4 linked regions of the Anolis sagrei genome follow. The protein of the gene in region 2 purifies or fractionates together with the protein of the main gene of each other region. This does not show direct contact. Links are inferred from orthologs where the notes say so. Each region holds a gene or a part of one and is shown on either strand. Other genes may lie near its edges.

Evidence for each region.
Region 1: the proteins of EEF1A1 (region 2) and EEF1B2 purify together in Homo sapiens (affinity purification with mass spectrometry; 3 studies listed by BioGRID and IntAct, counting the BioPlex papers as one, with this or other methods). This does not show direct contact. The link is inferred for Anolis sagrei from reciprocal best matches to the Homo sapiens genes EEF1A1 and EEF1B2.
Region 3: the proteins of EEF1A1 (region 2) and VARS1 purify together in Homo sapiens (affinity purification with mass spectrometry; 3 studies listed by BioGRID and IntAct, counting the BioPlex papers as one, with this or other methods). This does not show direct contact. The link is inferred for Anolis sagrei from reciprocal best matches to the Homo sapiens genes EEF1A1 and VARS1.
Region 4: the proteins of EEF1A1 (region 2) and TUBB fractionate together in Homo sapiens (co-fractionation; 3 studies listed by BioGRID). This does not show direct contact. The link is inferred for Anolis sagrei from reciprocal best matches to the Homo sapiens genes EEF1A1 and TUBB.

Annotation. Positions count from the first base shown.
Region 1 is NC_090021.1:168,211,058-168,218,146, reverse strand, and holds the start of EEF1B2 (elongation factor 1-beta), read right to left. Parts: upstream 3,003-7,089; 5' UTR 2,934-3,002; coding exon 2,854-2,933; intron 1-2,853. UniProt on the Homo sapiens protein: Catalytic subunit of the guanine nucleotide exchange factor (GEF) (eEF1B subcomplex) of the eukaryotic elongation factor 1 complex (eEF1).
Region 2 is NC_090021.1:111,735,211-111,743,115, reverse strand, and holds the start of EEF1A1 (elongation factor 1-alpha 1), read right to left. Parts: upstream 3,008-7,905; 5' UTR 2,905-3,007; intron 1,639-2,904; 5' UTR 1,593-1,638; coding exon 1,449-1,592; intron 256-1,448; coding exon 76-255; intron 1-75. UniProt on the Homo sapiens protein: Translation elongation factor that catalyzes the GTP-dependent binding of aminoacyl-tRNA (aa-tRNA) to the A-site of ribosomes during the elongation phase of protein synthesis.
Region 3 is NC_090022.1:21,196,294-21,203,659, forward strand, and holds the start of VARS1 (valine--tRNA ligase), read right to left. Parts: upstream 3,018-7,366; 5' UTR 2,909-3,017; intron 1-2,908. UniProt on the Homo sapiens protein: Catalyzes the attachment of valine to tRNA(Val).
Region 4 is NC_090022.1:21,651,704-21,658,873, forward strand, and holds the start of TUBB (tubulin beta chain), read right to left. Parts: upstream 3,008-7,170; 5' UTR 2,834-3,007; coding exon 2,777-2,833; intron 1-2,776. UniProt on the Homo sapiens protein: Tubulin is the major constituent of microtubules, a cylinder consisting of laterally associated linear protofilaments composed of alpha- and beta-tubulin heterodimers.

The sequences.
Region 1 (7,089 bases), about 56 Mb from region 2:
ACAACCAGTTTTTGTAGTTTAAATAAATTTTCCCTGTTTTTATGGTAGACCCAATTAGGAAATGACATTTATAACTCAGGAACAAGAATGTTACACAGTGTTACTATTTCTTGATTTTCCTAGCCATGGCATTTGGGAGATCTGGGAGCTGCAATCCAAAGTAGCTTTCCCAATTTGTGTTGCAATTGACAGATGGATTTTAATTAGCAATGAATGTGATAAAGATATACGAGCAAAAAAATATATCCACTGCTTTCTATGGGAGAAAGGAACACCCCAAACAAAATGATCATGAACAAATGTCCTAGGCCAGGGGTCCTCAAACTAAGGCCTGGAGGCTGGATATGGCCCTCCAAGGTCATTTACCTGGCCCTTGCTCAGGGTCAATCTAAGTTTGTTACGACTTGAAGGCACACCACAACAATCCTATCTCATCAGCCAAAAGCAGGCCCACACTTCCCACTGAAATACTAATAAGTTTATATTTATTAAAATTGTTCTTCATTTTAATTATTGTATTGTTTTAAAGTGTTTTTGCACTACAAATAAGGTATGTGCAGTGTGCATAGGAATCCATTCATGTTTTTTTCAAATTATAATCCGGCCCTCCGGACCCAGCCCTCTGTTTAAAGAAATTTGTGGAGCCCTGCCCTAGACAAACCCAGGAAAGAAACAAATCTGGGCTACAAAGATGATGCAGAGTTTAATATGGGTCTGTTAACTGCTGTTAAGGCAACTTTGACTTATGACCTAAGAATCAGCAATCAGCAAGTCACCCTCTTACTAGTAGCCCTCTTAAGGTCTTGTAGACTCAAGACTTTCTTCACTGAAGCGTAATGTGGCCTTCCTTTATTCCAGGCATGTTAGGAATTGTGGAAGTTGGAAGTCCAAAACATCTGAAGGGCTGAAGTTTGTCCCCTGCCTGCTCTATTCCCACTGCGTTCTATCTTCCCAAGCCTTACTGTCTCTTTTAGCAAGCCATGTCTTTTTATGTTCTATGTACCACAGTCTCAGTTTAATCATCTTGGCTCCAAAGTTCAGGCTTGATTTGATCTAGGATATGTCTTTCTGGCGAATCCAGTGCTCACAGAATTCTAAGAAAAATAAATCTGGGGTATATAGACCAATGGTCTGTGGGTCTGTCTTAATATGAGAATGTAATCCAAACCATTATGAAAAAAGGCATAACTAACTACTAACTGTGAAGGGGGGGATAACTTGGAGGTCACCATCAGTAGAAGTCTACTTGGCAGCAGTTAATGAAGGCCTTACTAAGACCCCATCTACACTGCCATATAATCCAGTTTCTGGATCCAGATTATCTGCTTCGAACTGTATTATATAGCAGTGTAGACTCATATAATCGAGGTCAAAGCAGATAATCTGGATTTAGAAATTAGATCATATGACAGTGTAGATCCAACCTAAGCAGCAGGAGGTACCTGATGCGAATAAGCACAAACCATGAACTCATCTCGTGAGAGGATTTTTGTTCCTGGGTTATAAATATAATTTCCTATTTGGTTCTATTATAAAAACATAGGTATTAAACTGCAAAACTTTGTTTTTGTGGGTCATTCTACAGCACATTTGCAGAGTTTCAATACCTTGTAGTAGAGTCTCAACAAATTCAACATAGGGTTGTTGTAGGTTTTTTCGGGCTATATGGCCATGTTCTAGAGGCATTCTCTCCTGATGTTTTGCCTGCATCTATGGCAAGCATCCTCAGAGGTAGTGAGGTGAGGTAGTGAAGATGCTTGCCATAGATGCAGGCGAAACGTCAGGAGAGAATGCCTCTAGACCATGGCCATATAGCCCGAAAAAACCTACAACAACCCAGTGATTCTGGCCATGAAAGCCTTTGACAATAAATTCAACATAGTTTGTGGCAGCCACAAAAATGAAGTTTCTGGAGAATTATAAGAATTACTTTCAAAGTAAGTACTGCACAATTAAACAGGAAGTAACACTTTCAAGGCCTTCGCAGAGGGAGCAGCAAGGAAAAACCTGCTTTTTGCAATCTGAGGCCCTTCCACACAGTCATATAACCCAGAATATCAAGGCAGACAATCCACAATATCTGCTTTGAATTATATTACGAGTCCACACTGCTATATTATCCAGTTCAATGTGAATTTTACACATCTGTGTGGAAGGAGCTTTAGAAAGAAAAACTAGTGACACAGCCTTTGGTCCCTTCTACGCTGCTATATAAAATCCAATTTCCTGCTTTGGATCGGATTAATGGGTAGTGTACACTGATAATTCAGTTCAAAGCAGATGTGAATCAAAATATTTATTTCGGTCATTGACCAGCACAGGAAATAGTGTCACATTTCCATACAAACCTGGCATGTTTGGTACATTAAAATATAAATATTACGAAAAACACAATATGGGTGAGGGAGCAGAAGGGGAAACGGGGTAAAAACATACAATGCCCAGATCCATCACCAAATTGTAGATACAGAGAAGATGATTACTGGACACACAGATGTGAATCGTCTTTGATAATGTGGATTATATGGCTGTCTAGAAGGAGCCTTACTGTAGCCTTGGCTTCTTCCACAAAGCTGAAGAAAATCCCACATTATCTGCTTTGAACTGGGATATATGGCAGTGTGGACTCAGATAACCCAGTTCAAAGCAGACATTGTGAGATTTCCTGCTTGGATATACTGGGTTATATGGCTGCGTGGAAGGGCCCTCAGAGTGCCGGGGCCTCCCCAAACTACAGATGCCCGGATGCTGTAGGCTTGAGCCATGGCGGTTGAAAGTGGCGCCGGGTGGCCTTTCTTCCTCGCTTCAAAGCCTCCCTGGAAGCGGGCGAGAGGGAGAAGGCGGCCAGCTCACCCCTCGATGTAGCTCTTGTCCGCTAAGAAGTTGTTGAGGAGCTGGAGGCCAGCGGGAGATTTCAAGTCCCCGAAACCCATGGCGGCGAGAGACAGACAGAGAGAGAGACACGTTGTCGTCGCCGCCGCACGAAAAGGCCGCGCCTCTTTCCGGCGACGCTTATATAGTCTGCGCGTGACGTATCCTTCCGCCGCGGAAGACGATTTCTGAGGCAATCTTCCCAAGGTTCCGAGGCCACGCCCCCTTTCGCGGCATCGGAACGTCTCCTTGACTTGCCCCCCGCCCGGATGTGACGTCGGAGGAGCCGGAGATTGCCGAACTCGCCACGGAAATTGCCGAAGCCGCCGCCATATTGCCAGAGCGAAGCGGAGACCTTCGTGGGGAGGCGTTGTTTTGGGTCGTTGGGGCCGGTGCGGCCCCCGCCTGAAGAGGTAATGCGAGGGAGAAGGGCTGCCGGGCGGGCTGGGCTACACGACGCCGCTGCCCCTCACTCCTCTGTCGGGGTCGTTGGCACTGAGCAACGCAACGCCCTTGACGGGTCGACCGCATCTTTCTCTCTCAAGCGTCGTAGCCATAGTTGGAAAGGACTCCCCCCCCCGCCCTTGTTGTAAAGTGGTATAACCCGCCAAGGCCAAGGGAGGGCCAATTCCCCCCATCACCTCTTCAATGGTTGAGTCCTCCCTCTTGTTACTGCCTGAATTGAAGGTGTTTAGCAGGTTTCCTTTTGGTCAGCTACTGGTCAAAGGACATCTAATAGAATACCAAGTCTGCAAATTTTGTGGTTTGTTTGTTTTTAATGCAATACAACTGTTTTGGTTCACTCCTGACACGATACATAAATAAATAAGCAAGTTTCCTGAGGGATCCACGTTTCCCAGATGTATCACAACTATTTTTATTTATTTATTTATTATTCCAACTTATATCATATGCCGCCACTCCCCTGGGGCTTGGAGCGGCTTACAAGAATGGCTAAAATCTAACACAATTTAAAACAATTTAAACACAGCAGTATCAAAAATCAAAGGCCTGCCAAAACAGGTATGTCTTCCATGCCCTGCGGAAAGCTGGTAAGTCCCGCAAGGCACGGACTTCAGGTGGCAGAGTGTTCCAGAGTGATGGTGCCATTGCTGTAAAGACTCTGCGTCTGGTTGCTGTTAGGCGCAAGGTCTTGACACTGGGAATTTCCAATAGATCTTGGTCCTCAGAACGGAGGGATCTCTGGGGTTGGTAGGGGGTGAGGCGGTCACTCAGGTACATCGGCCCCAGACCATGCAAGGCCTTAAAGGTGAGTACCATCACTTTGAAAGTGATCCGGTGCTCAATTGGTAACCAGTGCAGCTGTACTAAGATTGGTGTTATGTGGCATCTCATCGGAATTCCCGCAAGAAGCCGAGCAGCTGCATTTTGTACCAATTTGAGCTTCCGGATCACCGACAGAGGAAGGCCAATGTAGAGGGTGTTACAGTAGTCCAGTCTTGAGATGACCGTGGCCTGGATCACCGTAGCTAGGTCGTCCCTGGACAGGTAGGGGGCCAGCCGTCTAGCCTGCCACAGATGAAAAAAAGCGGTTCTCCTAACGGCGGAGACCTGGGCCTCCATCGTCAGCAGAGGGTCCAAAAGGACTCCCAGACTCTTTACCAATGATGATAGGCGTAGCGCCTCACCATCCAGGTAGGCATCTGGATATCCCCACTGCCCGGTCGACCCAGCCATAGGACCTCCGTCTTATATTATTGTATTGTCGAAGGCTTTCATGGCCGGAATCACGGTTGTTGTAGGTTTTTTCGGGCTATATGGCCATGTTCCAGAAGCATTCTCTCCTGACGTTTCACCTGCATCTATGGCAAGCATCCTCAGTGGTAGTGAGGTCTACTTCTGAGGATGCTTGCCACAACAACCCACTATTATTCTCCACTAGCTTGGGGACCCGGCGTTGCCCGGGTTATTAGAGAAAGTGGGTAATGGCGGTTCTGTATGCCAAGTTTGGTCTTTATTGGTCTTTGGATAACGGCTGCATTATTTTCAGGAAGTGAGTGAAGGTACTTGAAGTCCCATCATCCATGGGCCATCCTCCTACAAACAGCAGCAGGATATAGAGTGGGTCATGGGGGCTCTGTGTGCCAAGTTTGGTCTTTATCAGTCATTAGATGAGGGTGGCAGTGGTGTCAGTAAGTGAGTGAAGGTATTGCAAGTCCCATCATCCAAAGTCCATCCCCTTTCAAACTGCATCAGGATGTAGAGTGGATCATGGGGGCTCTGTGTGCCAAGTGTGGTCTTGATTGGTCATTAGAAGAGGGTTGCAGCAGTCTTGGGAAGGGAGTGGAGGTACTTGAAGTCCCATCATCCATGGTCTGTCCTCCTCCAAACTGCAGCAGGATGTAGTGTGGGTCATTGGAGCTCCATGTGCCAAGTTTAGTCTTGATTAGTCATTGGCGAGGGTCTCAGTGGTCTCAGGAAGTGAGCAAAGGTACTGCAAGTCCCATCATCCATCTCCAAAGTTTTCCAAACAACACCAGGACGTAAAGTGGGTCATGAGAGGTCTATGTGCCAAGTTTGGTCTTGATCCGTCATTGGATGAGGTTCGCAGAGGTCTCAGAACGTGAGTGAAGGTACTGGAAGTTCCATCATCCATGGTCCACCCTTCTCCAAAACTGCAGCAGGATGTAGAGTGGGTCATGGGGGCTCTGTGTGCCAACGTTGGTCTTGATTGGCCATTAGATGAGTTTTGCAGCAGTCTTGGGTAGTGGAGGTACTTGAAGTCCCATCATCCATGGTCTGTCGTCCTCCAAACTGCTCCAGGATGTAGAGTGGGTCATTGAAGCTCCATGTGCCAAGTTTAGTCTTGATGAGTCATTGGCGAGGGTCTCAGTGGTCTCAGGAAGTGAGTGAAATGACTGCAAGTCCCATCATCCATTGTCAAATTCTTCCAAGCCGCACCAGGATGTAGAGTGAGTTATGCGGGCTCTCTGTGTAAATTGTGGTCCTGATCCATCATTGTTGGCAGTTATAATGGTCTTAGGAAGGGAGTGCAGGTATTGCAAGTCCCATCGTCCATGGTGCATCCTCCTTCAAACTGCACCTGGATGTAGAGTGCGTCATGGAGACTCAGTGTGCCAAGTTTGGTATTTATTGGTAATTGGATGAGGGTTGCAGTTGTCTGAAGTATTGAGCAATGGTACTGCAAGTCCCATAATCCACGGTCCATCCCCGGCCAAACCATACCAGGACGTAAAGTGGGTCATGAGAGGTCTATGTGCCAAGTTTGGTCATGATCAGTCATTGGATAAGGTTAACAGCGGTCTCAGAATGTGAGTGATGGTACTGCAAGTCCCATCATCCATGGTTCATCCTCCTCCAAACTGCAGTAGGATGTCAAGTGGGTCATGGGGGCTCTGTATGCCAAGTCTGGTCTGTATTGGTAATGTTTTGACTCAGCCCCCTCTGGCCTTTTCTTTTCCTCTCTTTGTCATCTCGGAATCATGGAATTGAGGCTGGCCAATCAGAGACCATATGCAAATTTCCTTCTCATGTCCCCGTTTCTGCCATTCACTGTTTTCTCCACCAGGGGCTCCTATTGAAGCTGGCCAATCAGAGACCATATGCAAATTTCCTTTTCATGTCCCTGTTTCTGCCATGAACTGTTTTCTCCACCAGGGGCTCCTATTGAAGCTATCCAATCAGAGACCATATGCAAATTTCCTTCTCATGTCCCCGTTTCTGCCATGAACTGTTTTCTCCACCAGGGGCTCCTATTGAAGCTATCCAATCAGAGACCATATGCAAATTTCCTTCTCATGTCCCCGTTTCTGCCATGAACTGTTTTCTCCACCGGGGGCTCCTATTGAAGCTGGCCAATCAGAGACCATATGCAAATAGCACCACTGCGGCAGCCAATCCGAATGTTGGAACTTTCAGGCTGGCCAGTCAGAATGCTGGCACATACACCGCCCTTCCGCCCTCCCTCCACAATTCCTCTGTCCGATACAAACACTCTTCTTTATTATATACTAGCTTGGGGACCCGGCGTTGCCCGGGTTATTAGAGAAAGTGGGTAATGGCGGTTCTGTATGCCAAGTTAGGTCTTTATTGGTCTTTGGATAACGGCTGCATTATTTTCAGGAAGTGAGTGAAGGTACTTGAAGTCCCATCATCCATGGCCCATCCTCCTCCAAACAGCAGCAGGATATAGAGTGGGTCATGGGGGCTCTGTGTGCCAAGTTTGGTCTTTATCAG
Region 2 (7,905 bases):
AGTAATAAATTGAATGTATTTTCTCAACACAGGTAAATCTTACTCTAGATTCCCAAAACACCATAATCTGCTTACCTGGGAGGTTCCAGTAATCATGTTCTTGATGAAGTCTCTGTGTCCAGGGGCATCAATGATAGTGACATAGTATTTGCTTGTTTCAAACTTCCAGAGTGAAATGTCAATAGTGATACCACGTTCACGTTCCGCTTTCAGTTTGTCCAACACCCAGGCATACTTGAAGGAGCCTTTGCCCATCTGTTTATTGAACAAGAAAAAGGCAATTAGATTAACACATCTTACAGAGAAGTTAACTGTTGCCAGAAAGAACTTGCTCAAGACGTCAAGCATCAAACACACTGAAATGTAATACACACATTACTATATTTAGCACAGTTTGGCAGAGGCAGTGTGAGATTCCAAATCTGTTTTGCTTACTTAACCCAGTGACACTTAATACAGTGCTGAACTGTTTAATTACTTAACAGCTACTTCAAAGCTTACAGATGTAACAGCCAAATAACTGACAAGATACATGGCACATTCACTGGCTCCTCCATATATTTTCTATGTCCATTTAACTTGTGAATTCTGCTAAGCATCCCATTCTAAACTAAAGCCAGAAGATTATTATATTTATGTAGCCCGGCAGGTTTTTAGGACCCCAACTACCAGAAGCCCTAGTCAGGTTGTCCCTTAGTCCAGAATTCTGGCACCTGGAGGACTACAAGACTGACATAGATACACAAAACATCTCGTGGTGCATTTTTAAAATTACACATTTTAGATGTTTACCATTTACAATTTACCACAATAAATGAACTCCTTAAATACAAGCAGAAGAGACTTGGGAAATCAAGTATACTGGTTGCATTGTAGTAGAGATTAAATAGTGTAGCTATAATGTAAGATCTGAGAGGCCCCATCTACAATGACCATTTAATGCCATTTTGATTACAGAAATCAGCCTGGGGCCTGGCGATTACCACAAACCAGTGATGTGTATAAAGGGCTTCCTTTTGTGTACTTTTCTGAGCGTTTCTTGCCTGGCTACCACAAGCCCCTACTACACTGCTATATAAAATCCATTATCTGCTTTAATAATGATTTATTGCATCACCACCACCCCATTACAGACTCAGGGCAGCTGCTTTGAAATGGATTATATGGCAGTGTAGAAGGGACCACAGTTTGAAGGGAACTGGCAAGGGTAGGTGGGGCCCTAGACTAATTTTCCCTTGAAACCTAGGGAACAGTCCTCTTAAACTACACAGGTTCACATCAATGTAGCCTTACATTCTCATCCTTTTTTATTCCATTTAATTTTTTTACATAAAGCACCAACATTTAATAAATTTAATATCAGAAAAATTAAAAGAAAAATTATAATTGATCAAAAATCCCTTGTTTTGATGTTAGACTGGAAATTACACCAGGGGTGCCATACCCACCTCAGCAGCTTCCTTCTCAAACTTCTCAATGGTCCTCTTGTCGATCCCACCACATTTGTAGATCAGGTGACCAGTGGTGGTGGACTTGCCAGAGTCGACATGCCCGATGACCACAATGTTGATGTGGGTCTTTTCCTTTCCCATTTTGGCAGATGAATAAGGTGGTTCTCGCCCGCTTCAGATAAAAAACCTTTTGTTTTTTGGGGGGATAAATAAAAAATCATTTAAAATTAAAATTAAAAGAGATCAGAGCCTGCTAATTAACAATACGCAAAAAGGCAAAATATTTATCTACTGCAGTGGTTCTCAACCTGTGGGTCCCCAGGTATTTTGGCCTACAACTCCCAGAAATCCCAGCCAGTTTACTAGCTGTTAAGATTTCTGGGAGTTGTAGGCCAAAATACCTGGGGACCCACAGGTTGAGAACCATTGCGTTAGAGGAAAGCGCGCAGGCAGATGCTGTTTGAGGTGTAGGCCTGAGCTAGGCCCGAAGCCTGCCTCGAGTTGCTCAACTCCACCCACCGCTCCAAGGTGGCGGCAGTGAGGAGGAGGAGGGGCGTTGCGTCAGCGGGGCGGAAACCCAAGCTCCCCCCACTCTTCCTCACCGAAGTCTTTCGCGTGTCGTCGTGGCCGCAAGAGTTTAAAAAGGCCCAGTTAATAAGGGGTTGAGGCAGAGAAAGAGGAAAAACTGAGCGAGGGCGGCTCGAGACTCCCTTTGTGTGCGAAGCCGCGCATGCGCACTCAAGGGCCCGGCTCGCGCTCGCTTCCTCCCTCCCTCCTTCTCCCTCCGGCCGGCACGCGCCCCGCCCGCGCGCCCTCCATTTTGTGGCAGCGACAGCCGCCGCCATTTTTTCCCCACAGCGAAGCGAGAGAAGGCAAAAGGCTTCTTCCCAGAGAACGAGAGAGAGGCAGGGCGAGAGGGAGTGCGGCATCAGTGGCTCCCCATGGAAAGGCGCCCCAATTACTCTGTGTAGTGATTACACACACAGAGTAATAGAAAAGAACGCTGAGTTGAATATGCAACAACGAGGGCGTCAGGAACGCAATTACAACGAAGGCCAGCCAATACAACCACACAAAAGGGGAGTGGGGATTGACGAGATGAGGAGCAGAAACAAAGCGTCGCGCTATCCTCAAAACGACAGCATTTCAATCCGAAATTGAGACACGTGTTTGCCAAGCTCGACACGGAAAAGCAAGACACGCGTTCCCGAAAAAGCTTTCCCCAAGCCCCCATTCCTTCCCAATCCCTCTCACAAGCCCCCATTCCCTCCCGACCCCTCTCACATACACGTAACGTGTGTACGCGCTGACACGCGTGTCCCATCCCCTCCCCCCACAAGTCCCCTCCCTTTCAGGCGTCGAACGCCATTGTCCCCGATGGAAACACGTGGGCCCCGCCCGGCCTAGGCCCAGGCCTCCTCCCCTTCCCGCAACACACGTGGCAGAGACTCACCTCCGAAGCAGCGGCAAACCCGTAGCGAAAAAGACCGAAGCGGTGAGCGGCGCCCTTTATATAGCTTGTGCCGAGGGGGCGGGGCTTGTAGGGCAGACGTCACGCCTCCCAGAGTTCCATTCGGCGCTCCGGGCTCCCTCCTCTCCTCCCGGCTCCCTGCCTCGCCCTGGACTACCCCTCCCACCGAGCACTCCCTCCAAGGGAGAGGGGGGAAATTCCCCCTTTGTGACGAAAGCGCGCTCTTTCTCTCCCCCTCCCCTCCCTCCGCCGCCTTGACAATCCTCGCCTGTGACGTCACGCGCGCCACCCTTCTGCCGCACAAATTTCCTGATAGTTTGTAGACGTTCCCTTTAGAGGCGAAGAATGAGCTGAGTGAGAGCAGTGGGGCTTCAACCACTTTCGCCCTTTGCCTTTCTCTGCCCTCGGCCATGTCCTCTCTCTCTCTCTCCTCCTCCTCCTTTCCCTCCCAGCTTCTAAACATTTTATCCTCTCGTCCTCTTTAAGGATCCTTCTTCATCCCATACTGAATCAATTAATTTATTTATCATACTGCATTTGGGGTGTTTAGGATGAAGAGGGATCCTTAAAGGAGAAGATGTGATATTTCAAGCAAGTGGCAGCAACAGTTGAGATCTTCCCATTTCCACCATGGGAGTCATCCTTTTTTGTGCCCCTCACTATACTCATCCATCCAGTCATTTATGCATACATACATATTTATATATGAAACTCATATTTTTGTGCCCCTCACTATACTAATCAATTCATTCACTTTACATATTCATATATGAAAGTCATCTTTTTTGTGCCTCTCACTATACTCATCCATTCATTTATACATAGTCATATATGACATTCCTCAGCATCACACTAAACTTCACTCTTCAATTTTCTGTGTCAAACCCCTTCTCCCAAATTAATTGGGATTCTAGATCTGTTTGACAAATAAAGCTGCCCAAAATGGCACTCTCAGTGTTACCTGATGAGATACAAACTTTCACTTAATTGGTGTTCCATGAGATATACTTTTTTCTTCTTTTTAAATTCTCCCTCCTTCCCTTTTTGTGTGTATACACACACACAGAGATTCTTGCTTATCCAACCTTTGTTCATCCAACGTTCTGTATTATCCAACGTATTCTGCTTCCCATCCGGATCCACAGCTGTTTCAATACATTGCGATGTTTTGGTGCTAAATTCCTAAATACAGTAATTACTACATAACATTACCATATATTGAACTGCTTTTTCTGTGGATTGGTTGTAAAACATGATGTTTTGGCGCTTAATTTGTAAAATCATAACGTAATTTGACATTTAATAGGATTTCCCTTAATCCCTCCTTATTATCCAACATTTTTGCTTATCCAATGTTCTGCTGGTCTGTTTATGTTGAATAAGTGAGACTCTACTGTATATACACACGCACGTACACATACACACATACTTGCAAAGATATGTTGGATAATGCATTTCTAAAAACTGCAGAGGAAAATCAGCCTGTGTTTTAAATATTAGTAGCTTGGTAGCTGGCATTGTCCGGGTTATTTGAAAAGACTATTTTTTAATTGTACAAAATACATAAGGTAGTGGGTAAACTACAACTCACATTATGCCAGGTTAACCCCAAAAGCTCCATCAGTACTTAAAAGTTTGTTATGTTGGGCAAGTTTCTTCTAGGACAGTGGTTCTCATCCTATGGGTCCCCAGGTGTTGTTTTTTTTGGGGGGGGGAGGGGGGTTGGTGGCCTACAACTCCCAGAAATCCCAGCCAGTTTACCAGCTGTTAGGATTTCTGGGAGTTGAAGGCCAAAACATCTGGGGACCCACAGGTTGAGAACCACTGGTCTAGATGCATCATTGATGGGGTTCAATTCGCTCTCTGGCTGTAGGGTAAACTACAACTCCTACTATGGTGAGTCAGTCCCCTAAAACCCCTCCAGTAGGTTGTGTTAGTCATGGGGCTTTGAGCACCAAGTTTGGTCGAGGTCCCTCATTAGTGGAAGTCACAGTTTCTCTGGTTGTGGGTGATCTACAACTTCCAGAAAGGAATGCCAACTCCCCCAAACCCCTCCAATAATCATATTTCCGCATATCAGGTCTGTGTGCCTAGTTTGGTCCAGATCAATCGATGTTTGGGTTTACAGTGCTCTCTCGATGTAGGCGAACTACAACTCCCCCAAATCAAGGTAAATTTCTCCCAAATACCTCCAGTATTTTTTGCTGGTCATGGGGGCTCTGTGTGCCAAGCTTGGTTTAATTACATCTTTAATGGAGTTTGAAGTGTTTGTTGATAGCAGGTGTACTATACATCCCAGTACCTACAACTCCAAAATGTCAAGGCTAATTCCCCTCAAAACCCACCAGTATTCAAATTTTGACATATCAGGTATGCATGCCAAGTTTGGTCCAGATCCATCGCTATTTAGGTTCATAGTGCGCTCTGGATGTAGGTGAACTACAACTCCTATAAATTGCTCCAAGTCCAGTATGTTTTGTTGGTCATGGGGGTTCTATGTGCCAAGTTAGTTCCAGGTCCATAGTTGCTGGAGTTCAGAGTGCTCTTAGGGTGCAGGTGAACTATACATCCCAGTACCTACAGCTTCTATAAATAATAGTGAATTCTCCCCAAACCTCTCTGATCAATTCCTCTGCTTCTGTGTGCTAGAGAAAAGAATAGGAAAGGGTTAAGGGAGAGGCAGTGGGTGGGGTCATGCAAATTCCACACTAATGGAAAGAGTCAGAAATACTGGGATGCCTGTGGTGGAGGAAAAACAGAAACTCTAGGGTGAAAATGTACCCATATGAAAGCTTTCACTTGGGTGGTGGGCAGGCTTGTGTTTGTGGAAGACACTGACAGGGCTCGTGGTAGGCCCGTAGCCAGGATTTCATTTCGGGGGGGGGGGGGGGCTGATTTTTTTTCAGGGGGGGTTTTGGGGGGGGGCTGATTTTCGGGGGGGGGCTGAGTCTGAGTGAAAGAGGGTCTAGCCTAGCAAACCTTTTGTATCATTACCCCAATATCCCCATGCATATGGGATATATTGAGTATGGTGATCAGATCATGATATGAATAAACATAACAGTTTAAATAATGCACCAATAAGGCCTTTTCGCGAACCACCATGAAAATTTCGGGGGGGGGGGGGGGCTGAAGCCCCCCGAGCCCCCCCCCCCCCCCCCCCCGGCTACATGCCTGGCTCTTGGGCATGTTCATGGTGCTCTCTATAACCTTCAATGTCACTGGAGGGAGGGCCATTTGTGTCTCCTGAGCAGTGGGAGCTATAGCTGTTTGTGGAGGCAGGAGCTTGTCTCTGTAAGTGGACACCCTAGCCACATACACACATATATATTATGTGGATGGATAGATAGGTAGATAGATAGATAGATAGATAGATAGATAGATAGATAGATAGAAAGATAGATGATAGCAAACCTATGAATGTGATTTTTTCCCCCAAAATTATACATCTCTCTTAAGGCTGCAACATTTTATTGTCCTGCTCTATTCTCATTCTGTCCATGTGGACAGAATGTGGACAAACAGAGAGTGCATCTATATTGTAGAATTAATCTAGTTTGACACCATTTTAACTGCCATAGCTGAACGCTAAGGAAGCGTGGAAGTTGTAGTTTGGTGAGGCATCAGCATTCATTGGCAGAGAAGGTGAAAGACCTTGTAAAGCTACAAAACCCATGAACCCATGGCACTGAACGGTGTCAAACTGGATTAATTCTACAATGTAGAGGGCCCAGAGTGGTTTCCAGTTGCCAGAAAGGTCAGGTAAAACCGCCTTTTATCACTTTTATGCTGAATATATCCTACCTAAAACAGGAGGAAAGAGGAGTGAACACTGAAGGAATATCAACAATTTAAGATATGCAGATGACACTATACCACTATGCAGGGGGGGGGAAAGACTCGGAAGGGTTATAGAATAAAGTCACGAAGGGAAGTGTAAAGGATTGGGCAGCTTCATAAATTAATAAAAATTATGACTGCAGATTATTTACATAACTTTCAAGTAGACAATCAATACATTAGCCTCTTTTACACTGTCATATAATCTAGATTATCAAAGCAGATGATTCACATTATCTGCTTTAAACTGGATTATATGAATCTACACTGCCATATAATCCAGTTCCAAGTAGATAATGTGGATTTTATATGGTGGTGTAGAAGGGCCCTAGAAGGGGTCTCAATGCAAGTTCCCATGGCCCTGAATTTGCAAAACCTAAGCAGGGCTGTTACTATTTAGGTGACTTTGGGTGCATCTTCTACACTGTAGAATCAATGCAATTTGAAACCAGTAACTGCCATGGCTCAGTGCCTTAGAATCATGTGAACTGTAGTCTTACAAAGTCTTTCTGTGCCAAAGTGCTGGTGCCTCTCCAAACTGCAGAATCCTAGAATACCATAGTATTGTGCCATAGCAGTTAAACTAAATTAATTCTACAGTATAGGTGCACCTATAGAAGTCTCTTGTTCATCGGGTCAAGTCAAAGTTTACTTGACTGCTAAGTTTAATTGAACCGGATTGGTTCTGAGTTAATTGAAACCAATGTGGCTTAAATTAGAGTAATGATTATTATATATCTTTGGTGCAACTAAGACTGTAGTCTTTTCGATTTACTCTCTCTTTTCTATCCACCTCATCAAGGATCTAAGCATTATTTGAAAGCAAGCCACTTGCAACAAATGAAATGACATTTCCCTCCATCTGCATAGGGCTCAGCTGAACAAAACACCTAAGTTAGCAAAATGCACGCCTGCTTAAATTGCAAAGAAGCAACTGGTAGTATAGCAGGCTGTTTTCCACTTTTGAGTGCCAGGATCCTTTGCGAGACATGCAACATAAATTATTCCCCTCTGGCCAGATCATAAGAAGTTTGCTAGAGCTAACTGAGTGGCTAACTATTTATATATAAGTAATTTTACCCTTTTATTGGCCACATTTTGAGACATGCAGTTGTAAGCACCTACACTACAGAAATATTACAA
Region 3 (7,366 bases), on a different chromosome or scaffold from region 2:
AGGAACTCAATGACTCAAGAGGAACAAAAGCCAGTGTTTTCTCCACCTTTCCTGAATGCATGCTATATGTCTGTGTAGAGAATAAATATAAACACTGTGCATGATAGTTATATTATGCTGAGAGAAGAGAGTTAGTGAAAATACTTCTGCAGTGCCATATGGGGAAAAGACGGTGTCCCAAGAGATAGGAGGAGGAAATGTTATTACCTCAACTATCTGAATCCAGGAAAGAAAGGAATCTAATTTTTCAGGAACTCTCCTAAATTTGTTCTAAATCATTATTTTTATGCTTGAGATGCTATCCAGATGGCTCTAGGACTCGGGTATCTTTTCTATAATACAGTGCATCAAAACTGCTGAATAATTGCAATTTGATACCATGGTTCAATGTTTGGGAATCCATGATTTTTTATTTGATGAAGCACTATCTCCCTTTGGCAAGAAGACTGAAACCTTGTAAAACGACAACTCCCAAAATTCCATAGCATTGAGCCAAGGCAGTTAAAGTGGAGTTAAATCTACATTAATTCTATAGCATAAATGCACCCTTAGATCTTCAGGCATTAGGATAGAGGTCCCAAGGAGTATTCTATGAAGGATAAAATATTCCCAGTTTTTTTTATATACAGTCATCCCATAACAAGCTTGCTCCCGCCTCCCTATGATGTCCCCCCCCCCACACACACATGTTTATAAATGGCTCTCATCACGTCTCTTCTCAATCTTCTCTACTGCAGCTAAACATGCCCAGCTCTTTAAGCCGCTCCTCATAGGGCTTTTTCTCCAGACCCTCCTCTTGACACATTCCAGCTTGTCAACATCTCCCTTGAATTGCAATGCCCAGAATTGGACACAGTATTCCAGGTGTGGAATTTGAATATTATGACTTGTTGTGGAAACAAGGATGGGTGAGAAAGCTTCAATGGAGATACCTTTTCCCCATGATAACTCCCCCAGGAATAAAATTCCCTTCCTATAAGTCGATTTCTCTCAGTTCTTGTTGTCTCACCCCCGTTCTTAACTATAAGTCAGATGTCTGTAACTTGGGGATTGCCTATATTTGTATGTGTCCTTTCAAGTCTGACTGTGGACTCATCACTAACTATTAATTTTGTAAGTTTTTCTCAGGCAAGGAATATTCAAGATGTGGTTTTGCCCGTTCCTTCTTTTGAAACACACTACAGCAGGCATGGTCAAGCTTTGGCCCTCCAGGTGTTTTGGACTTCAACTCCCACAATTCCTAACAACCCATGCCTGCACTACAGCATCCTTGCAAGGGCGAAATAGAGCTGACCCTGCTTAGTTGCAAGATACTCCACTTAGGCAGAAAAAAAGAAATGCAAAGATACAGAATGGGGGAGGCGTGTCTCGAGAGCAGTACGTGTGAAAAAGATCTTAGAGTCCTCGTGGACAACAAGTCAAACATGACCCAACAATGTGATGCGACGGCAAAAAAAAAAAGCCAGTGGGATTGTGACCTGCATCAATAGGAGTATAGTGCCTAGATCCAGGGAAGTCATGCTACCCCTCTATTCTGCTTTGGTTAGACCACACCTGGAATACTGTGTCTAATTCTGGGCACCACAATTGAAGAGAGATATTGACAAGCTGGAATGTGTCCAGAAGAGGGCAACAAAAATGATCAAGGGCCCGGAGAACAAGCCCTATGAGGAGCGGCTTAAAGACCTGGGCATGTTTAGCCTGAAGAAGAGAAGGCTGAGAGGAGGTATGATGAGGGCCATGTATAAATGTGGGAGAGGAAATCATAGGGAGGAGGGAGCAAACTTGCTTTCTGCTGTCCTGGAGACTAGGACACGAAGCAGGAAAGGAGATTCCATCTGAACATTAGAAAGAACTTCCTGACTGTGAGCGCCATTCAGCAGTGAAACTCTCTGCCCCGGAGTGTGGTGGAGTCTCCTTCATTGGAAACTTTTAAACAGAGGCTGGATGGCCATCTGTCAGGGGTGTTTAGAATGCAATTTTCCTGCTTCTTGGCAGGGAGTTGGACTGGATGGCCCATGAGGTCTCTTCCAACTCTAGGATTCTATGAAAGGAGATTCCATCTGAACATTAGGAGGAACTTCCTGACTGTGAGAGCCGTTCAGCAGTGGAACTCTCTGCCGCGGAGCGTGGTAAAGGCTCCTTCTTTTGGAAGCTTTTAAACAGAGGCTGGATGGCCATCTGTCGGGGGTGCTTTGAGTGCATTTTTCCTGTTTCTTGGCAGGGGGTTGGACTGCATGGCCCATGAGGTCTCTTCCAACTCTATGATTCTATGAAAGGAGATTCCATCTAAACATTAGGAAGAACCTCCTGACTGTGAGAGCTGTTCAGCAGTGGAACTCTCTGCCCCGGAGTGTGGTGGAGTCTCCTTCTTTGGAAGCTTTTAAACAGAGGCTGGATGGCCATCTATCGGGGATGCTTTGAATACAAATTTCCTGCTTCTTGGCAGGGGGTTGGACTGGATGGCCCATAAGGTCTCTTCCAACTCTAGGATTCTAGTTTCAAAGATCTGACAAGATCTGGATTCTTTAAAGTGACAACTGGGAATTAATGTCTACACTGCATATTTAATGCAGTTTGACACCACTTTGAGTGCCATCTCTCAATGGTATGGAATCCTGGGCGTTGTACTTTGGTGGGGAAGGAATAACTAAAGACCTTACAAACTGCAACTCCCAGGATTCCATAGCACTGAGTCTTGGCAGTTCAAGTGGTATCAAATTGCATTAATTCCACTGTGTAGATGCACTCAGAGCTGCAATGAACTGCAAAGGGAAGAAGCAGGAAATCCAAGTCTCTTGGAAGTAGAGAAAAGAGTTGACAGCACAGGCTAAAGAAGGGGAAGTACTTATTGAATAGTTGGGAGGGTCCCAGCAGGGAATGGGGACAGGAAGGGCTTCCTTCTTACCTGCACTGCCAGCCGGTCCCAGCCTCTCCCCCACGTGCTGCTTTTTCTTTTGGAGGAAGGACCCCTTCTGTAGGCGTCTACAGCAATGCCTGTCTCATGTATCTACAAGCAGGAGGAATACTAGGTGCGCAAAGTTAAGGAAACAGCACTGTAATAACCCTGTGCCTTTGAGTAAATTTACACTGTAGAAGTAATGCAATTGAATACCGCTTCCTCTCCTAGAAGGAAGGAGAGCCTTCACTCCTAATGATTACAAACCAGTTGCATCATGCACATTCGAGTGAATGGGGATTTATTTTTTTTCACAAAGGCAGTTGCTTAGACAGCCCTTCGCAGGGTCCTCTTCTTATTGGTAGGAGTGACAAAAAGTCTAAAACTGACCACAGAGAAAAACAGTTAGAGTGATACAGATGCAGAACTTCCGGGCAAAGTTCTCTTATTAGGAGACTATTAGCCCATAAATGTATATAGTGAGATTTCTCAACATTGATATCTCTGTGATAAACACTATGGAAAATAGCTATGATTCTTCATCTTGTTGATGGGAAGCTTCTCACCAGAGTGGAAATCATCTATCAGACAGATGGCAAGCTATTTAACCTCAGCAGACTGAAAGCCAAAACCAAGGTTACAACATGTGTTATAGAACTCCAGTATGCTGATGACAACGTCATCTGTGCGCATTCAGAAGAAGACCTAAATCCATGATGGTCAACCTATGACACGTGTGTCAGCACTGACACGCATCGCTATTTTTGATGACACGTGGCCACATGCGGCCACAGACAGAGAAGTACACCTTATAACAGCCAATCTAATTCCATCCTTAAATTTGTAAAAGGCTCTACAAATTTAACATTTGCACGTTTGAGCATTGTTCACTCCATAACTCAGCATGGAATATACATTTTTCTTATTTAAACTATAAATATTGCAAAATTATGTTGTTTTTTTCTTGAAGTTGACACCCCACCCAAGTTATGCTCAGGTTTTTGGCAAATGTTGACACACCAAGCTCAAAAGGTTGCCCATCACTGACCTAAATGGTTCTGGTCCAGTTTACCTGTACGAACGTATCTCCCGCTACGATCCACCTACGGCCCTAAAATCATCCAGGGAGACCCTGCTCATTGTCCCCCCATTGTCGCAATCACGTCTGGTTGTGACAAGGGATATTTTATTTATTTATTTACAGCATTTCTACCCCGCTCTTCTCACCTCCTCATGGGAAGTCAGAGTAGCTAACAATGGCAACGATTCGATGCCACAATAATTACAATTATAATAGCAAAATAAAATCATACAATATAATACATTAAAACAATGTTAGTTATCCAATCATAAAGGCAGTTCCATTATAACAACCGTCTAGTCCAATTCACTGTTCAGGTGCTGTTATATCCATTAGCCAAAAGCCTGGTTCCTTCTCTGTGGTGGCCCCTCAGCTATGGAACTCCCTCCCAAGTGAAATTAGATCTTCTGCATCCCTCTTGACCTTCCGGAAACAAGTGAAATCCTGGCTAGATTAGGTTGAGTTGCTGATATGACGACTTTTATAGAACTGACTGATTGCCCCTTGGATGATGATTCAAACTGCTGACTGCTGGATTGTTTTATACAGTTTTATTGCCATATTGCTGTTAAATTGTATTTTTATGTTTCTGGTATGGGCACCATGGGGTGCCGTTTTGTTAGCCGTCCTGAGTCCCTCTGCGGAGGTTGAGACTGGATGGTATATAATAAATAAATAAATAAATAAATAAATAAATAAGCCACTCTAAACACCTTCGCAGAAGCATACAAGAAGCTCAGCCTGTCACTGAATATCGAGAAAACCAAAGTGCTCTTGCAGCAGTCATCAGCCAATCCCTCTCCAATGCCAAAAATACAGCTTAATGGTGAAACATTAGAAAATGTTGACCATTTCCGCTACCTTGGCAGCCACCTCTCCACATTCGACACTTAAATACAACACCGCCTGAGCTCTGCAAGTGCAGCATTTTTCCGAATGAAGCACAGTGTTTGAGGACCTGGACATCTGTAGGGATACCAAGGGGCTTGTTTATCAAGCCATTGTCCACCCAACCCTGCTATACACCTGCGAGACGTGGCCTGTCTACAGACGTCACATAAGACAATGGATTTCCACAATCACAACAAACACAAATCCACTACAAGTCATAGTACATAAACCACAAAGGTAATTTTTTTTCAGCTTATATAATGCAATATTAAACTTATAATCAACTTATATGATATCATATAAGTTGGTTATAAGTTTAATATTGCATTATATAAGCTGGAAAAAAACATTTACCTTTGTGAATTATGTACTACGACTTGTAGTGGATTTGTGTTTGTTGTTACAGACATCACATGCAACTCCTGGTACGATTCCATCAGTGTTGCCTCCAGAAAATCCTGCAAATCTCTTGGTAAGACAAGCAGACAAATGTCAGTGTGCAGGAAGAAGCAAGACCACCAGCATTGAAGCGATGGTCCTCTGCCATCAACTCCGCTGGACCGGCCACGTTGTCCGGATGCCCGACCACCGTCTCCCAAAGCAGTTGCTCTACTCCAAACTCAAGAATGGAAAACGGAATGTTGGTGGGCAGGAAAAGAGATTTAAAGATGGGCTCAAAGCCAACCTCAAAAACTCTGGCATAAGACACGGAGAACTGGGAAGCCCTGGCCCTTGAGCCCTCCAGCTAGAGGTCAGATGTGACCAGCAATGCTGTAGAATTTGAAGAGGCACAAATGGAGGGAGACAGAGAGAAATGTTCCAAGAGGAAGACACGTCAAGCCAATCCCGACCGGGACCGCCTTCCACCTGGAAACCAATGCTCTCACTTCAGAAGATGCAGATCAAGAATAGGGCTCCACAGTCACCTACGGACCCACCGCCAGTACATCGATCTTGGATGACAATCCTACTCGGACTACAAGGGATTGCCTAAGTAAGTAATAAACACTATGCGTGATTAGCAGGGCTTTTTAAAAATACTGTGGTGTGCAATCATAGAATAATATGGTTTGGCCCACTCTTTTTGTTTCCCATGTTCCCCAGCTAAACAAGACCAATGGCAAAGTGATTTTTTTTTCGTGTCAAGAGTGACTTGAGAAACCGCATGAAAAAAATGTATTCCTGGTTTGAAAAAGTTATTTCCTGTTTAAGTATGTGGTACTTACTTTGAAAATTGTTGTTATAGTCCAGAAACTTCATTTTTGTGACTGCCACAAAGTAAGGTGAATTGATTGAGACTCGAGATATTCATTGAAAAACTATAGCAAAATGTGCTGCAGGATGTCTTGCAAAAACAATTTTTTGAAGTTTAATAATCATTTTCCTTGTTTTTAAGATCAAACCAATTAGGAAATGACATTTATAACCCAGGACCAAAAATCATGTTGCATAGTGTTGTATTTTCTAGCAAGTCAATCCTTCTTATGATATGCTTTTTGTTTTTTTGTCATATCAGGAGTGACTTGAGAAACTGCAAGTCGCTTCTGGTGTGAGAGAATTGGCTGTCTGCAAGGACGTTGCCCAGGGGACGCCCAGATGATTTGATGCTTTTATCATCCTTGTGGGAGGCTTCTCTCATGTCCCCGTATGAGGAGCTGGAGATGATAGAGGGAACTCATACGCCTCTCTCCAGATTCAAACCTGCAACCTGTCGGTTTTCAGTCCTGCCGGCACAGGTGTTTAACCCACTGCGCCACCGGGGACTCCATATGATATGCTGAAAGTGCAGCACTCTCTGTTTTGTCATCCTGGCTTCTAGGGAGAGCTGCCTCAAACTACATAAGCTGGCTTTAGCACAGCAGGTTAATCGCCAGCTATAGCTGCAATAAATCTTGGTTGCCAACCAAAAGGTTGACAGTTCAAAGCTGGGTCAGGGTGAGCTCCTGACCTTCAGCCCAACTACCCGCCCAACGAGCAGATCAAAAACAGCAAATAGTAGATAAACAGGAACTGCATTAAAGTAGGGAGGTATTTTAAGCACAGTTTTTCAATCAGAGAAAAAAGAAGAAAAAAGTTTACCAACGAAGAATGCTCTTCAGCAAGGAGATGGAGCGACAACATCCCCCTGTGGCCGGAACTGAGCACAGCCTCCAAAGATGCCGAAAAGATAGGGAAAAGCTGATATAATACTACTATCTGTTGCCTGTCTTGTCATTGTATAATCGACATTGAATATTTACCGAATATGTGTTCTCTTATCCACCCTGTGTCCCCTTTGGGATGAGAAAGGTGGAATATAAATACTGTAAATAAATAAGCAAAGGAAAAATGTGTGTTCTATACATATCCATAATTCTCTATATTTGAAGGTGAGCATTTGCAGATTTGATTAGTCGTGTCTTACCGTTAATCATTCAATTAGAGGGCCTAGGCATTTCTAGGAAGTATTCTCTCAGAAAACAATAAGTGTCTGCAACATCTATTTATATCCATTG
Region 4 (7,170 bases), on a different chromosome or scaffold from region 2:
ATTGGTGTCTCTGAAGCAGTTTTAAAATAAGACACATTGTATTTCCCAAGTAGGCACTTTTTTTCCTTTTGAGGAACACATGCCTGGCTTTTGGCTTTTCTTTTTGTTTGGGATTTATAGGGTTTTTTTGGCTTTGGCTTCAAACTACAAGAAAGGAGATTCCATCTGAACATTAGGAAGAACTTCCTGACTGTGAGAGCCGTTCAGCAGTGGAACTCTCTGCCCCGTGGCTTTTCTTTTTGTTTGGGATTTATAGTTTCTTTGGCTTTGGCTTCAAACTACAAGAAAGGAGATTCCATCTGAACATTAGGAAGAACTTCCTGACTGTGAGAGCCGTTCAGCAGTGGAACTCTCTGTCCCGTGGCTATTCTTTTTGTTTGGGATTTATAGTTTCTTTGACTTTGGCTTCAAACTACAAGAAAGGAGATTCCATCTGAACATTAGGAAGAACTTCCTGACTGTGAGAGCCGTTCAGCAGTGGAACTCTCTGCCCCGTGGCTTTTCTTTTTGTTTGGGATTTATAGTTTCTTTGGCTTTGGCTTCAAACTACAAGAAAGGAGATTCCATCTGAACATTAGGAAGAACTTCCTGACTGTGAGAGCCGTTCAGCAGTGGAACTCTCTGCCCCGTGGCTATTCTTTTTGTTTGGGATTTATAGTTTCTTTGACTTTGGCTTCAAACTACAAGAAAGGAGATTCCATCTGAACATTAGGAAGAACTTCCTGACTGTGAGAGCCGTTCAGCAGTGGAACTCTCTGCCCCGTGGCTTTTCTTTTTGTTTGGGATTTATAGTTTCTTTGGCTTTGGCTTCAAACTACAAGAAAGGAGATTCCATCTGAACATTAGGAAGAACTTCCTGACTGTGAGAGCCGTTCAGCAGTGGAGCTCTCTGCCCCGTGGCTATTCTTTTTGTTTGGGATTTATAGTTTCTTTGACTTTGGCTTCAAACTACAAGAAAGGAGATTCCATCTGAACATTAGGAAGAACTTCCTGACTGTGAGAGCCGTTCAGCAGTGGAACTCTCTGCCCCGTGGCTTTTCTTTTTGTTTGGGATTTATAGTTTCTTTGACTTTGGCTTCAAACTACAAGAAAGGAGATTCCATCTGAACATTAGGAAGAACTTCCTGATTGTGAGAACCGTTCAGCAGTGGAACTCTCTGCCTCGGAGTATGGTGGAGGCTCCTTCTTTGGAAGCTTTTAAACAGAGGCTCGATGGCCATCTGTCGGGGGTGCTTTGAATGCAATTTTCCTGCTTCTTGGCAGAATGGGGTTGGACTGGATAGCCCATCAGGTCTCTTCCAACTCTATGTGTCACCAAACTACAAATCCCAGGACTCCACACCCTTTAGCCATGGCAGTTAATAATGGGAGCAAGCTGCATTCATATTACAATGGAGAGGCTACTCATTGTTGCTCCAACTCCAACCCTTTATGTGTGTTTATTACAAAGAGACTGTAGAGCAATGGTTAAAAGATATTGATAAGGTATATAGAGATAAAGCCCGCTATTTTCACCCCACACTTCAGAGCCTCGTGCGGGAAACCTCATGCCTTTTTCTCCCCTCCCACTTCCTTTAGCAAAAAAAAAATTCAAATCCCTCCTCCTGGTTGCAGCTCCTTGGCGCTAAAAACGTTAAGGAGGACGTTAGTTGGCGGGGAATTGGGGGCGCCTTCCCTCCCTTTTCACCACCTGAATGCATGTTAAGAGGAAGCGAACCCCACGCCCCTTAAGTAACGCCGTTCCTTTGGGAGAGGTAACGCGTTACATTGTTAAAAATAGTTAAACGGAAGGAAAGAACTTGGGAGATATGGAGAAAGCGCTGTGATTATGGGAGGAAGCAAATTCCACGCCAGTTAAGTAACGCCGTTCCTTCTGGAAAAGCAACGCGTTACTTTCCGTTGCAAAGTAGTTAAATAAGGAAAAACACTGGAGATATTTGGGGAAAATGTGCTTTTGGAAGCAAATTCCACGCCCTTTAGGAGGAAGTAACGAGTTACTTTCCATAGCAGAGTAGTTAAGCGGGAGAAAGAACACCTTGGAGATTGGGAAAACGCTGTGATTATAGGGATGGGAAAGAGGAAGCATAATGGCGCGTTCTTATTTAACGTCGTTCCTTTTCACAGCGTTTGGATCTCGTTGCCGCCCCACCCAGCTTTCCTTTACCCCTTCCCCCTCCCCCCAAAGACAATGGCTTTGCAATAGGCGAGCGTTTTGTACGGAACGGAAGCAGCGTTACAGCCCCACGTTCCTTTCCTTGTCGTTGAAAGGAATTAAAACGAGTCCTTCCCCTCCCAAGCCAATATTTTAAATCCAATGCGCCCGCCCCCCCAAGAAAAATGACTTTGCAATAGGAAAGCGTTTTGTAAGGAACGGAAGCAGCGTTACAGCCCCACGTTCCTTTCCTTGTCGTTGAAAGGAATTAAAACGAGTCATCCCCCTCCCACGCCAATATTTTAAATTTAATGTGCGCGCCCCCCCAAAGAAAAATGACTTTGCAATAGGAGAGCGTTTTGTAAGGAACGGAAGCAGCGTTACAGCCCCGGAAGCAGCGTTACAGCCCCACCTTCCTTTCCTTGTTGTTGAAAGGAATTAAAACGAGTCCTTCCCCTCCCAAGCCAATATTTTACATCCAATGTGCAGCTCTGCCGACTACTTCCTTTCGGCCACATTTTAAAATAATAATCTCCTGAATTATGAAAAATTATATTGCTTGAATTACTTTTCTTTTTTTGCAACCCCAATTTAATAATATATACCTCAATGACCCATCCTCACCTTTGCACCGATCTGGTTACCACATTGCCCAGCTTGAATGTGCACGATTTCCCTCATCTTTGCCTGGCTTTCAAAACACTTTCCCCCCTCTTAATTACTTTTCCCTCGTTCCTTTCTGCTTCAGAGGCGCGCCGCTCCTTTAAGACTCAGAACGTTGGGGAGCTCAAGGTTCGATCCTCCGAAGGCGACGCAGAGGGAAGGCAGGAAGGCGGGCCGGGCGCCCAGACAAAGGTTTTATAAACTGGCGGGCGGTCCGCGCTCCCATTGGCCCGCGGGCGTCAGGAGCGGCGTTCTGATTGGACGGCGGCGGAAAGAGACACGTAGCGGGAGAGGGAGGGGGCTTCGGAGCAGAGCTGGGTGTGGCAGCAGGCGCAGCAATGGGGAAAGTGGGAGGGGGGCACTGCAGCTCTCCCTTTTGTTGGGAGAAGACGGGCGCCATTGCATGGGGGTTTGCACTAGCCCACATGGTGGTGGTCCTCGCCACGCCTAGACCAGGGTAAAACATCACCCAAGGTCCAAGATGCATCTACACTGCAGAATGAATGCGGTTTGATACTGCTTTAACTGCTAAGTTGGTGAGGTACCAGTACTCTTTGTCACAGAAGGCTACAGACATTGTAAAATCCCATTCTTCCATGGCAAAATAATGGCTCACAATCAAAAACATGGCAAATATACAATAATAAAATCTAGGTTCTTGTGGGTTTTTTCGGGCTATAGGGCCATGTTCTAGAGGCATTTTCTCCTGACGTTTTGCCTGTATCTATGGCAAGCATCCTCAGAGGTAGTGAGGTCTGCTGGAAGTAGGACAATGGGTTTATATATCTGTGGAATGACCAGGGTGGGGCAAAGAGCTCTGCTGGAGCTAGGTGTGAATGTTTCAACTGGCCACCTTCATTAGCATTTGAAGGCTTGCAGACCTCACTACCTCTGAGGATGCTTGCCATAGATGCAGGCGAAACGTCAGGAGAAATGCCTCTAGAACAGGCATGGGGAACCTTCGGCCCTCCAGGTGTGGTGGACTTCAACTCCCACAATTCCTTGAGGCCAAGGTAAGCCTTTGGAGCGAATGCCGAGCCTCAAGGAATTGTGGGAGTTGAAGTCCACCACACCTGGAGGGCCGAAGGTTCCTGACCCCTGCTCTAGAACATGACCCTATAGCCCGAAAAAACCCACAAGAACCTATATACAATATATTTGCATGGCACAATATTAGTATTACTAGATTACAATATATATTGTATTATTATTAAGATTGTAATGTATTATATTATCTATATATGTATCTAAAGGTAAAGGTAAAGGTAGTACCCTGACATTAAGTCCAGTCATGTCTGACTCTGGGGTGTGGTGCTCATCTCCATTTCTAAGCCGAAGAGCCAGTGTTGTCCATAGACACCTCCAAGGTCATGTGGCCGGCATGACTGCATGGAGCGCCGTTACCTTCCCGCTGGAGCGGTACCTATTGATCTACTCACATTTCCATGTTTTCGAACTGCTAGGTTGGCAGAAGCTAGGGCTGACAGCGGAAGCTCACGCCGCTCCCCAGAATCGAACCTGTGACCTTTCGATCAACAAGCTCAGCAGATCAGTGCTTTAACCCACTGGATATATATTTATTTATCGTGTCATCAGCAACCATACCATTGTATTACATTTCTAACAGAACAAAACAAACAAACAGGTTTAAAAAAACCCACAGATTTTGCAGACTTGGTAATTGATTCAATGTTGATTCGATGTCCTTTGACCAGTATCTGGCCACTTGGAGTGCCTCTGGGGTTGCCGCAAGAAGGTCCTCCATGGTGCATGTGGCAGGGCTCAGGTTGCATTGCAGCAGGTGGTCAGTGGTTTGCTCTTCTCCACACTCGCATGCCGTGGATTCCACCCTGTAGCCCCATTTCTTAAGATTGGCTCTGCATCTCGTGATGCCAGAGCGCAGTTTGTTCAGCGCTTCCAAGTCGCCCAGTCTTCTGTGTGCCCAGGGGGAGTCTCTCATCTGGTATCACCCAGGGATTGAGGTGCTGGGTTTGGGCCTGCCACTTTTGGACTCTCGCTTGCTGGGGTGTTCCAGCGAGTGTCTCTGTAGATCTAAGAAAACTATGTCTTGATTTAAGTCGTTGGCGTGCTGGCTGATATTTTATTTATTTATTTATTTGGGGTTCTTCTACCCCGCCCTTCTCACCCCGAAGGGGACTCAGGGCGGCTTACAGTAGCAAGGCACAATTTGATGCCTGCATCATAAAACAAGTGTACACAAAATTACATCAAATCAATTAACAATTCATACATAAATTCATACATTATTCCCATAAAATCAATAAAACCCCCATACAAACCCAATTTCTCCTTTTACATGGTCAGCGTTTGCTCATTCATAGTTCTAGTTTCCTGTTCCACTTCATCAGTCCTGCTGGTCTTACTCGCCTGAATGTCTGCTTTAATTGCTGGAGTGCCCAAAGGCCTGGTCCCACAACCACGTCTTCACCCTCCTCCTAAAGGCGAGGAGGGATGCTGCTGCCCTGATTTCCCCGGGGAGTGAGTTCCACAGGTGAGGAGCCACCACTGAGAAAGCCCTGCTCCTCGTCCCCACCAGCCTCACTTGTGAGAGTGGTGGGGTCGAGAGCAGGGCCCCCCCCAGATGATCTCAAGGTCCGGGGTGGTACGTAGAGGGAGATACGTTCGGACAGATACGCTGGACCGGAACCGTACAAGGGATTTGCTTTATTTTCTTAGGTATTGTATTGTTGTATTGTGTTGGGCTTCGGCCTGTGTAAGCCGCATCGAATCCCTTGGGAGATGCTAGCGGGGTACAAATAAAGTTATAATAATAATAAAAAAGGGATGAGCTGGAGATGTCTCTGCCTTGGTCCTTTCACTACTGGCTGCAACTTCCCGGCGGATGTCAGGTGGTGCAATACCGGCTAAGCAGTGGTGTGGGGCGCAGACACCCTGTGATAATGCGGCATGTCTCATTAAGAGCCACATCTACTGTTTTAGTGTGGTGAGATGTGTTCCACGCTGGGCATGCATACTCAGCAGCAGAGTAGCATAGCGCAAGGGCAGATGTCTTCACTGTGTCTGGTTGTGATCCCCAGGTTGTGCCAGTCAGCTTTCGTATGATGTTGTTTCTAGCGCCCATATATACATGTATATACAATATATTTGCATGGCACAATATTAGTATTACTATATTGCAATATATATTGTATTATTACTATTAAGATTGTATTGTATTGTATTGTATTATCAATATATGTATATACTATATATTTACATAGTACAATATTGGTATTATATGACAATATATATTATATTGTATTATATTATCATATTATCAATATATGTATATACAGTATATTATATTTGCATAGCACAATATTACTATTACTAAATTACAATGTATATTATATTGTGTTATTATTAGAAATATGGGATTATACTATAATATCAATATATGTATATACAATATATTATATTCGCACAGTGCAATTTTACTATTATTATATTACAGTGTAGGAGCCCCCGGTGGCAGAGTGGGTTAAACTGCTGAGGTACTAAACTTCTTGACCGAAAGGTCACAGGTTCGAATGTGGAGAGCGGCATGAGCTTCCGTTCTCAGCCCCAGCTTCTGCCAACCTAGCAGTTCGAAAACATGCAAATGTGAGTAGATCAATAGGTACCGCTCCGGCGGGAAGGTAACAGTGCTCCATGCAGTCATGCTGGCCACATGGCCTTGGAGGTGTCTACGGCAACTCCGGCTCTTCGGCTTAGAAATGGAAATGAGCACCAACCCCCAGATTCATACATGACTGGATTTAATGTCAGAGGAAACCTTTACCTTTACCTATATTACAATGTTTATTATTTTGTATTACTAGAATTATATTGGATTATATTATAATATCAATATATGTATATACAACATATTATATTCACATAGCATAATATTAATATTACTGTATTGTGTATTACAATATTATATTGTATTATTGGAATTATATTGTGTTATATTGTTATTTTCTTTTTCTGGCTGGGGTGAAAATTGCTGGAAGAAACATTAACAATCTTAGATATGCAGATGACACCACTCTGATGGCAGAAAGTGAGGAGGAGCTGAGGAGCCTTCTAATCAAGGTGAAAGAAGAAAGCGCAAAAGCTGGGTTGCAGTTAAACATTAAAAAATCAAGATTATGGCAAGAAGAATGATTGAAAACTGGGAAACAGAGGGAGAAAACATGGAGGCAGTGACAGACTTTGTATTTCTAGGTGCAAAGATCACTGCAGATGCAGACAATTAGATCAGGAGACAATTACTTCTTGGGAGGAGAGCAATGACCAATCTTGATAAAATAGTGAAGAGTATAGACATCACACTGGCAACAAAGATCTGC